Linked DNA regions of Drosophila melanogaster. The protein of the gene in region 2 purifies or fractionates together with the protein of the main gene of each other region. This does not show direct contact. Each region holds a gene or a part of one and is shown on either strand. Other genes may lie near its edges.

Region 1 (6,139 bases), on a different chromosome or scaffold from region 2:
GTGTTCCAGTGGAAACAACAACAAAACGCACTACGAACAGCGGCGTCCGACGAACGGCTGAAGGGTGTGAGGGGCGAGGGGCGTCGGCGAGGGGGCGTGCGAAGGGAGGCCAAGTGCGAATGTTTCGTTTTGTGTGTCCAGCCGCTGGTAAATTTGCACCAATTCCTCGCGTTGCGCTTAACTTTAACACACCCGAACCGAGCACACGAACAGCAAACGGATAGTTAATATTATTTTTGCAATAATCAGCCAAAATCGGCGACTTTTGGGTTTTTTTCGCAGACGGTGCGGTATGGCCAGATGTCGCGATTACCAAATACCGTTAATACACTCCTACGACTAAAGCGGCCAATGGTCACAACTTAAATGGAAAGGATATTAGGATTAGATATTACTAATTTGTTACGATGAGGGGAGAGGTATACTTATCTGTTTAGCCAATTTAATTGAGCCAAAACATATCTATAAACTATTCGATACGCTTTTTAAAGAAATTTCTCCTGAGCATTCGCGGTTGATATTTTCATGCCACGCGTATACGGTCACACTCTCCCACCCCACTCATTTTCTTAAAGGGAAAAACAATAACATTTCCGGCGTATTCCCCGCTCTATCTGACCAAAATGAGGCTCCAACGACAGTGCATTGTGGTCAACATGCGATCGGCCATTGTCCTGATCATGATCTTCGTGCTGACGGGGATCAGGAACAGCGAAACGGCCAGCGGTGGCAACCAGATGGACTTATCGGACTCAAAAGGCGATCACAAGGATAACAGCAATGCGAGCAATGGCAATGGAAATGCCAACGATAACGAGGTGTATGTGCCGCCCCTGGTGTCCAGCATGGTGGCCAAGAGTGGAGGAGGTGCCGGTGGACTCCTGGACAACATAACCGCCTACAGCAGCAGCAGCAGTAGCAGTAGCAGCAATGGGAACAACAACATGCTATGCCCGTACGATAAGGAAACGCCCTGTGATCGCCTGCAGTTTCCCTGCATCCGTTGCAACTACAATCATGGATGCATCTACGGCCGGGACTTGAATGTAACCTGCGAGGTGATCAACAATGTCCAGTGCCTGGGCGAACGGAGTTTCCAGCGACAAATGAATTGCCGATACTGCTACCAAACGGAAATGTGGCAACAGAGCTGTGGCCAGCGCTCCAGTTGCAACTCGGCGACGGATAAGCTATTCCGTACCAACTGCACCGTGCACCATGATGTGCTCTGCCTCGGCAATCGATCCTTTACCCGCAACCTGCGATGCAACTGGACGCAGGGCTATCGGTGGAGCACAGCCCTGCTGATTAGCCTCACGCTAGGGGGCTTTGGAGCCGATCGATTCTACTTGGGCCACTGGCAGGAAGGGATTGGAAAGCTGTTCAGCTTTGGCGGCCTCGGCGTCTGGACCATCATCGATGTCCTGCTCATCTCGATGCATTATTTGGGGCCAGCGGATGGCTCACTTTACATATAGTTTAGTTTTACAGGGGTTAATAGGTCATAAGCTAACTTTTCCATTACAGTGTACATAATAACGAATGCAAATATGCAACCATTAGGAATAGCAAGATCTTCTCAAAAACGTGTACATAATTAATTAGGAAATGTATTTTATTAATAATGCCAAAAGTTCTTTTTTGTATCTTTTATCTAGCACAATTCTTTGATCGTATCAATAAATAAGTGAAAGAGAAAATATAACCATCTCTTTCTCGTTCCTGTAAGATCAGACAAATTTGTAAAAATAAATGGTTTGTTTCATTCAGAAGATTTATTTCAATTTCACTAGGAAGTTTCTTTTTTAAAAATTCAATTTGTTTTTACAATATTACTCTAATATTACGAAATCTTGTGCTAGATCTAAATGTATCTTTTGCTTACATTTATAAATTTATATAGCTTATATTATAGAGTTTCCTGAAATGAAATCCAAACTCACCCCTCAACTGAAAGTGACTCAGTCCATGGCGGCCGCCTGCACTTCATCATCGCCATCATCAAACTTAATGTGCTTGCCCAGCATTTTGCCCACTTTCTCGCGACCGCGTTTTTGCTGCACGCGCACCTTTTTCGAGAGTTTCGCCTCGCGATCCTGCTCGATTTTTCGCCAATAGAGCGTCTCCTGCTGGCCAGAGAGCACTTTCAGCTGCCTCTCGGAGCAGTTGACCTGGCGTAGCAGTTCCTCGGCTGCGGCAGGCGTGCCCAAACGTAGTAGGGCCACTTGGTCGCCCTCCTTAATATCCACATATTTAATATCCGGATATTGGCGCATTTCAGCCTTAAATTCTTTAACATTGGTGCATGGTTTTAGCAGGGAGCACTCCACAATCAGCCCGGGCTCGTATTTAAAGAGCGGCGTGCGTTCCTGCGAAGGTTCTTCGGATTTGGTGGATTCCACGCCGCCGGCGCCGTAGAAATTCATGTTCATCTTGTGCACCGCCTTGCGACGCTTGGCTGGCACAGGCGCTGCTTCTACGGCACCTTCACCGCCATCGCTAGGGACCTCGCCTCCGGTTTCCTCCTCTTTAACTGCCTCGGGCAGCTGTGAAGGTTTCGGATGGTTTGGATGACTGGTCTGCTGGTGGTGAGGGTGCTGCTGATTTTGTGGGTGATTTTCTCGCCACAGCTTGCTCTTTGCCTCACTGACGATGCGACGCTGTAGATTCAAGTACTTATTGCGCATACTGCTCCAACTAGTCTTGGGTAGCACCTTGAGCTCCAGGGCACTGGGCTCAATGTTTGGCTTGTCCACGATCGCCTTCTTCTTGCGCTTGCGACGGCGCTTTTTGGCAGCTTCATCGCCATCGGTTGCCTCTGTTTTGTCCTCCTGCTCGGAGGCTTCGGCTGTGCCCTCTGCATCCGTTTCACTCGCTGTTTCCCCAGCTGTAGAGGTCTCGCTAGGCTGGCCCTCCTCCAACTTAACCCGTTTCACCTCGTGTATCTCCTCGCGATCCTTGTCGGTGGCCTCCCTTTTTAGATTTCGCTTTGGCAACTCAACCTGTTCAGCCTCTGACTGCGGCTGCTCCGCTTTCTGTTGTATCTGCTGCTGCTGCTGAAAGGAGCGCACACTGGCCAGATCACTGGGATCGGTTTCTACGGACAAAACGCCCTGTATCTGGGCAAAAGCCTTCACAGCTTTCTCCAAGGACCCGCTCTTTTCGAACTCGATAAAGGCAAATTCCTTGATCTTCTTAGTGCCCGGATAGTGGGGCAGGGACACGTAGGCCACCGGTCCGTAGCGGCTGAATACCTCCTTCAGCCAATCGTGAGTGGCATTTGCAGGCAGGGCCTCTACATACAAGGTTTTGTCGTTGACATCGCGCTGATCTGGTAGCTTGGTACGTCGCTTGACCTTTAGTTCGGTCTCATCCAGCTCCAGAAGCTGGGAGTTGCTTAGTGCCTTGGCTATCTGCTGCACATCCTGGGTGAGCGTCTTTATCTTATTGAAAGTGAGAAAGATTTCCAATGGTACATCTGTAAAAGAATAACATGATCAGTGTTATGTTGGCTGGTGAGCCAACCTTAGCTACTCACATGGATCCTGCTCTACGTAGCGCCGAAGGAAGCGATCCTTGCTCAAGTTGGCGTCACCGAAGTAGAATTCCATTTGACCGCGAATCGAATTGAACAAATGCCTCTTCCTTTTGCGTCCACCATCCTTTTTATCCGGCGATGCGTCTTCCGGCGCCGGTTCTTTGGAATTTTCCTCAGCTGGTTCAGTGGGTGCGGCTGGATCGGGTTTCTCCGCTGATGTCGCGGGCTCCTGACCCTCGCCCTTCTCCTTCTCGATACTCTTGGCAGCCATTGAGTGCCAGTTAACCAGTAATCTAAGTCACTCGAATAAAATATTGCACTTGGTTTTTGCGTTCTGATCTATTTGGCAACGCCGTCTAGTTATGAATTGCTGGGATGCCAGGTATTTGCAGCATTCCCATATCGATAGTTTAACGAATATCGGATTCTAAGTACTGTAACGTACACATAAAAACGAATTGAAGCAAGACCATCAAAGCAATAAAAACTGCTATAATTTGTTTTAAGCGAAAGAGACGTATTTCTTTGCTTTAATTATTACCATTATTTCCCACGCTCCTAATAAGGCTTGGCAGCCAAGCGCAAACAACGGGACTATATCGATAGTTCGGCGCTGTGGCAACCCTACTGCGTTGTTTTGGCGGGCGGCAAAAAAAACACAGATGCTATGCTAACCTATGTGTGTTGTACAGTGCGCCGCTAGAATCGGCAACAACAAAACGAAAATAGTCGGCGAATAGGCGAGAAAATGGTTTATTCTCTCTCGAATTAAAGCGCTGATTCAATTCCGACTAACTATTGAGTGATTAAACCTGCAACAGTCAATAATAAGGCATTACAAGTGCGTTCGATAAACCTAAAGTCTTGCAAGCGAAAAAAAAAAGAAAGGCAAGGCGAAAAGCGAGTGGATGGTGACGCTTAGCTGAGTCGGAAAGTCCAGCCATGGAGTCGATTGTCCTGCATTCGGACGTGGCTCGCTTGGTCCTGGGTAGGTTTTCCCTGGACGCTTTTCTAGCTCGCAATATTTATGCTCTTCCATTTTGTAGGCTACCTAGTCAACCAGAATCTAAAAAGGGCCGCACACACTCTGTGTCGCACATCGCCTCACCTGCGCCACGAGTTCCTGGCCCTTAAACAGGGCCTGCAGACGCACAACTTCCTTCACGGGGGTCTGGAGGAGATAATCTGCGAGCATGTCAAGATCACAAGCTTGGGTAAATTAGCACGCTCCTTGCGTTTCTTTTTTTTTGCGGCTGACCGAAAATCTCTCTTTTCAGTGGCCGGTGCCGTGCAGAAGCTGCCGCTGGATATGCGTATGCAGCTGCAGCAGATGAAGCTGTCCGAACGGGTCAGCGAACTGATAGCCGCCGGCGAGAGGAGTAGCTGTACCAATGAAAGCAGCACCCCAGGCGAGCCCACCATATCACAGTCGCATCGCAAGAGAAGGCGCTTGTAATTATAGATTTTTCCTTGACACAAGCACATCGGAATTCTCATTGCTCTCTTACCCCTTTTCCCCAGGCGCACCCATTCTCCCGTGAACAGCATTTCTTCGCCTTCGTTTAGCAAGCGACCGCGTCTGCTGCCGCCACACTTCTACTGCAGCGTTAACCGCGACAAGGTCAGGCAGAGTTTCCTAGGCAGCCAGGATGACTGCGAGGCGGAACTGGACGAAGAGGATGGCGAGAGCACAACGGCCACCGAGGACTTGGAGGAGGATGACTTACTTCCGGCGAATGGTCCTGGTCCGCGCAACAATTCCACGCCGCGCCAAGGTCATACCGAGTCCAATCCACTTCTGCTCACGCCGCAAAGCATGCCTGTAAGTCCATAGACATGCTTAATGCATATCTGCTTAATTAACCAATAGTGCATCTATTATGTATTCTAAACAAAAAACACTCTTTCGATTTACATTGATTTCAGGAACTGGCCTGCGCGATAATTAAGAATCAGGACTTCCAGGAGACGCTGGTAAAGAATATTAACGTAGCGCTGCAGACGGTGACTGTTAACAATCCGTCGGTAAGCTGTGACGCCATGTTGGATGGTCTAGTGAAGAACATACTGGAGGCCACCGAGAAGGATCCCTCGTTCGATCGCATCATACAGGAGGTGGTGATCGGGGATGAACCATTGGCAAATGAGGAGGACCCTGGTGTGTCGCCTGCCTCTGATGCTGCTGGGGCTGCTATTGTTCCCGCTGCTGATGGAGATGTGCTGCCGACAGAACAGGCCGTGGATCCCGTGCCGCCGCAAACACCGCTTATTATTCGCACCGCCGTTGCAGCCACCGCAGGAACCAATGCAGATCCCAATTTCTCCATCTCCAAGCTTATCGTACTGAACTCCAACGAGAGTGTCCAAAAAATGGTTGCTGGTTTGGATACGTCCAATATCAGCTTTACAAGCGAAGGCCTCAATATAAATTTTGCCGATCCAGCGTCAATGCTCAGCGAGGTGGAGGCGACAGCTGCTGGTCAGGTTTGTGTGGACGCCACCACCGGGCAGCTGACGTTTCCCATGTACCTCTCGAACGGTGGACTGCTGTCGCATCTTCCATTCCTGGTGAACAACGAGTGGGTAGCCCAGCAACTTGGG
Region 2 (5,717 bases):
GGACATCACTGTGCCACCGCCAGAAGTCAAAGAAAACTGGATGGAAAGCTTTGAGCCAGCCACCAGCGACGATTTGGCGGTGCATCCAAAGAAGGTCGGAGAACTACGCGATTGGCTGCGTCACTGCGAAGCGGTGCGCAAGAAGTTCCCGGCTCAAATGTGTCTACTTACCGGGCCCACTGGTGCTGGCAAAACCACCACGTTGCGAGTCCTGGCCAAGGAGTTCGGCTACCAGCTGCAGGAGTGGATCAATCCTATCGATTGTGAGGTGGTCAACACCTTGGGTGATCAAACGACTGGCGCCTCCTATGTGGGCTCCCATCTGGAGGCCTTTAAAAGCTTTCTGCTCCGTGCCTCGCGATACAAATCCTTGCTGGACTCGCAAAATAAGAGACTGCTTCTTGTCGAGGACTTTCCCAACGTCCTGCTCAGCGATAAGGAGGTCAACTTTGAAGAGTTACTAGAGTAGGTAAAACCGGTGGACTATGGAATTGAACACCAACTATAAGATTCAACATAATTTAATAAACCCTCATTTCCTTCCATTTCAGAGAGTACACGGCGTATGGCAAATCTCCCCTGGTGTTCATCGTTGCCGATGCCAAATCTCGAGGATTGAATATCAGCTACCGCCTCTTTCCAGACCAACTGAAGGCCAAACATCGCATCGAGCACATCAGTTTCAATGCTATTGCATCTACAATCATGCAAAAGTCAATGAAAACCTTCTGCTCCGTAATGCAGCAGAATAAAGCTACTTACAAGGTGCCCTCGACCGCTGTTGTTGACTCAATAGTTGTCGGTGCCCAGGGCGACATAAGAAATGCGTTAATTAATTTACATTTGAGCTCTTTAAAGGGAGTTTCCAGCATGCCGACCAAACAGCTAAATGTCAGTGTGTCCGCAAAAGGTCGTAAGAAGAAAATGCAAAGTACTTTAAAGTCAATTGGTAGAGATGAATCAATTACTCTGATGCACGCACTTGGAAGAGTATTAAATCCTAAGTGTAAGTCCCACGAAACATTCTCTGTAAAAATACTCATTCAAATCTTGGATCTCATCAGTTAATGAGGACAAAACTATGTTACACAGCCCGGAGGAAATAACCGAAGCCTTTAATACAGAGCCCAGGAATTTTGTGAATTTTGTATATGCCAACTATCTGCCGCATTTTAAGGAAATCGATGATGTCGTGACCGCCATAAATGACTTGGGCCTATCAGATTGCATGCTCAACGAGTACAGAGATGATAATTTGTCTGTGATGGGCTTAAACGTTGCCATACGAGGAGTTATGATGTCCAATACGTGCCCTGTCAGCGGATGGATGCCTGTTCGAGGACCCAAGCGAATCAATATACAGCCACAGGCAACTTTGGCCGAACAAAGACTGGTGGGTGTGGGCTACGCGGGCATTGCCAGGACGCTCTACGCCACGGAGTACAGCTCATTAGTTAAGTTAATAGCAGGCAAGCCTGTGGATACTACTTCAAGCCAAAGCACAGACTCAAAACAAGACTTTTAGTAAATCAAAACTATTTATCTGATGTTAAAACTAAAGTAGCAAGGAAGTTTTTAAAAAATGTCCCTAGGACCAAATATGATATCTAACAATCGCAAAACCCAGTTTATTATATAAATTAAATGTACTGCGCATCCCACCGTAAGAAAATGAATAGCGGTAGTTATTCGAATTCATGTTTTAACTCTTTATTTATCTACAAATCGATTTTTCATTATACAAAGTTCCATTAAAATCAACACTTCGAGGCAACACCGCTAAACTATACACCATACAGACCAACAAAAATACAATTGGGAGGCGTCGTTTGCAGATAATAAAGTAATGCTAATTCTTTCTGATGAATGCTTTTTGATGAGCTATTTGATGATTGAAAGGAACTCCTCACAATTTAGGCGTCCACAGATGACTTAAAAACTAAACAAGGATTATGTCCATTTATCGCCACATTCTACCACAATTGAGTCTTTTATTTACACACGGCGGAGTGACATACTCTTCTATTTTATTCTATTTGACAACTGCATCGGCTGGCCTGGATACATCGCTGGAGTTGTCGTCCTCCTCCATTTGATTTCCATCTAGCAGGCGCTGACGCTCCTCCTCGTTGGCATGACCATTCAGGTGGATCGGTGATCTAGACCTGGAGCGGGTGCGGCTCCTCTCGTGCCGCTCGGCATGCCCATTGGCTATGTTCAGGCCGGCCACGCCCATTTCGTGACCATCGCTGCTGGTCGAGGAAGTGGTGGACGTGGTGCTCGACGTGGTGCTGCTGCTGTCGCTTTCGCTGTCCTCGCTGGTGGAGTCCATGGGTGTGGGTTGTGGCTGCTGGGGAGGCTGTTGTCTAGCCTGCAGCTCGCAAGCTGAACTGGGAGTGGGCGCCACCGCTGAGGGCGGGGAAGCTGCGGCCGCTGCTGCTGCCGCTGGTCCAGCTGTCGCGGAACACGTGCGCAAGAGGTGGGTGCGCAGAACTGGAATAAAAGGCACAAGTTATAAATTTTCCTGGTTTTTCAAATTATTAAAGACATCGCATACATTGATTCTCACGTGATAGTTGGCGAATCTTATCATCCTGCGCTCGTAATTTGGCTCCAAACTCCTTGGATATGTTCTGGGCCTTCGAATATCGATCTTCGATTTGCATGCACTCCTGGATGAGCTCCTGCTTGCTCATCGTCTCCAAACGTTCGAGCCGCGCTCGCTCGTAGACATCGGAGAACTCCTTGGAAAGGAAGAGCACCTGATCTTCGGTCTGGGAGCCAAAACAGTTGTCGTCGGAGTCATCTTTGTGCAGCTCCGACATGTGTTCCTCCATTAGGAAGCGGTTCGTGTTGTACGGAACGAGCAAGGAGCGCGAACGAACCAGCTTGGTTCTGCTATTCTGTCGTTGATTCCCCTCCAGCGTTGCTCCTGCACCCGTTGACATATCGAGTTTCCACTGCGGATAATGGTTCTTGGTCTTCTTGGGCTGCATCTTGGATTTTTTTCCCCGCCGATGTTTCCTCTTCGGCATTCCCGAGCCGCCTCCTACAGCGACACCGCCTCCGCCACTGGCGCCCCCTCCTCCGCCGCTATCCAAAGGTCGTTGTTGGGAGCCACTTTCTGGAAAGAGCAAGAGGACCAAATTCAAATTTGAACCGCCAAAATACTCGAAAATGCAACTCTGCCCACTGCAGGGGCAAAGGAAAGAAAAAAACAATCCAATAAGACAGTCGCCATTTGTCGCTTGCCTTTTTCAGCGCTCCCCGAGTGACGATTTTTACCATTTTTTACAGCTTCAGCCATGTTGCCAACACAAATACTTAATTTATTAAGCACTTAATTAACACTTTAAGCTATAACTGGAGATTTGTTGCCGATTTGTAGGTTTGCGATTTTTATACTAAGCGAACTAAAACTCGATTGAAGTGTAACCAGGTGCTGACGCCGGAGTCCCACATAAAGTTCTCCGCCTAACGCGACCAAAAATACCCCAATTGCTATCACATTGAATAATATTAGGCGCCAATTTCAAAATAAATAAGAAAATCTCCATATTTTAAAGACAATCTTTCTACTTTGTTACCCACAAGGTAAGTTATTGAAATATTGTTTCTGAATCAAAAGATTTAGTTATTATTTTAGTTTGTTTTACTGAACATTTTGTTGTACCAAGTATTTACTTCAATCTATGCTTTGAGACTGTCGTGAATCCAATCGATGTAGGACGCCACCCTGGTGTAGACATCCGGCCAGTCGGGATTGGGGCAGGGAACGGGTCCGAACGACACCAGTCCACCGAGCAGATAGCCATCGTTCTTGAACAGCATCAGTGGTCCACCAGCGTTGCCGTAGCACTCCTGGGAATTGGTCAGGCCACAGAGCTTCGAGGCTTGGATGCGCAACTGCTGGCTGGCGTACTTCCTTTGACACTCCTCAATCGAACTAATGGTCACATAACCTTTTCGCATCCTTTGCGAGGAACTAGCCTGCCATCCGGCCACCTCGGTGACCAGGTCCTCCAGCTCGTCCGCTCGCAGCTGCTTGTTGGGCAGGCAAATGGGTTGCACAAAGTCGTTGAGCTTGGCAGGACTTGCCAGTCGGACGAGGGCAATGTCGTTGATCTGCGTCCTGTCGGTGCGATTGTAGAGCGGATGTGGAAGCAACTCCTCGATGGCTATGTCCTGGTAGGGAGGCGCGCAATCCGCCACTTTACTATCCTCATGGTACTGACAGTCGGGATTCGTGCTAGTGTCCCATTCACCCAACCGGACAGCAGTAATCTGCAGATTGCTAGTCGCCGCCTGGGCCACACAATGGGCAGCAGTTAGCACATACCGATCACTGATAAGCACACCGCCACACGCATGGATCTTCTCCTGGTTGCCTGCGGAGTAAAAAAGGTGGGGATTAATACTGTGACCTACATATACATATATTACCAAAACCGGCAACTCACCGCGCGTATACTCAATGAGGGCCAGCCAGGGAAACTCCCGGATTCGCGTATCTGTGTCATTCGAACGCTGCCAACGAACCTTTCCGCAATCCGAGGGCAAAAGTGGGTGGGTCAGGGCACCCAAGCCGGCGGTACTAGGACAGCATACCTAGAAAAACAGTGGCTTTATCATTATATTATAAAGTATATCTCTTTTACGAGGAACTCCCAAAAGCGTACTCGAATAACGAGTTTTTTTTTATGATACAGTTTGAGGTCACTTATTTTTACAAAAAGTTTCCTTAACATTAACAATGGAAGTAATTAAAATATTTAAAAGGAGAATGATATCTCATTTGAAACCATTCGTATTATCAAAATGTGGTGTATTTCCCTATTCAAATCGTTTACAAGTTCTTATCTGTAGAAAATGATAAGAACGCAAGCGTTTATAAAATTCCAAAAAAATGAAGCTGGGCAGTGAAAGTGAAAACCAGAACAGGCCCAATATAATCGAGCTTGTTTTATTTAGTAGCGCTTAATGGATCAAGTTGTGGAAGTTCGAGTTCAATTGGGTAGGGAGAGATACTGTGGTGAATCACCCACCTGGACGTCGTTGCCCCGCACTCCGCACTGATTATCACGGAGCAGGTTGCGATCGCTCTGGCTGAGATTGCCGGATAGCAGGATTCTCATGAAGTAGTCACACTCCCGGATCGAAATGCAGTGACCGGTGACACGGCCACTCGGAATTTTTGCAACACAATTGATGGGCGGGAGTTGAGCTGGAATATCGGAGATCGGGGATCGTCCCACGTTAACTTAAGTTCACAGCCAGACTTGTTTACGATCCCGTATTCCGTACACACTCACCATTCGCGCCCAATGCCAGCGAGCCGACAACAACAAGTAGAGCTGGAAAACTTCCCATGCCGGACCGGATCGATCAGATACGATACAGCTGAGCGGAACGAATGAGACTGCGATCGAAGCTGAGTCTGAGATTAACATTAAGTTCGGCCGGTGCCTGTGAATTACCAGAGAGTCGCTTTCGGACCGGGTTCAGATAACATAATCGTAGTTGTGTAACTGGGGGGCTTTGTAGAGCTTTTAATGCCCTGCACTACGGCATATTCACTTACAATGAGTTGTCGAGATTTCAGCGTGTTACGCTTAGATGAGATCTAGTAATTAATATTTTATTTGTGGAATAAGCTCACAAGCTAATACTGATATACTGATCGTGATTTTAAAAGTCTCCCATTTGGAGACGTTAGA

What was found. Proteins that work in one complex are often made in the same cells at the same time.
Region 1: the proteins of Hexim (region 2) and Larp7 purify together in Drosophila melanogaster (affinity purification with western blotting; 2 studies listed by BioGRID, with this or other methods). This does not show direct contact.

What each region holds. Positions count from the first base shown.
Region 1 is NC_004354.4:9,241,546-9,247,684, reverse strand, and holds Larp7 (La related protein 7), read right to left. Parts: upstream 3,869-6,139; 5' UTR 3,810-3,868; coding exon 3,539-3,809; intron 3,479-3,538; coding exon 1,962-3,478; 3' UTR 1,760-1,961; downstream 1-1,759. Other genes in the region: amx (almondex), read left to right, coding at 624-1,478; mxc (multi sex combs), read left to right, coding at 4,481-4,526, 4,585-4,752, 4,816-4,990, 5,060-5,360, 5,465-6,139.
Region 2 is NT_033777.3:14,657,151-14,662,867, reverse strand, and holds Hexim (hexamethylene bisacetamide inducible), read right to left. Parts: upstream 3,431-5,717; 5' UTR 3,308-3,430; coding exon 3,253-3,307; intron 3,125-3,252; coding exon 2,558-3,124; intron 2,494-2,557; coding exon 2,033-2,493; 3' UTR 1,691-2,032; downstream 1-1,690. Other genes in the region: Rad17, read left to right, coding at 1-465, 552-1,006, 1,065-1,525; CG3505 (uncharacterized protein), read right to left, coding at 3,691-4,388, 4,461-4,608, 5,046-5,224, 5,313-5,370.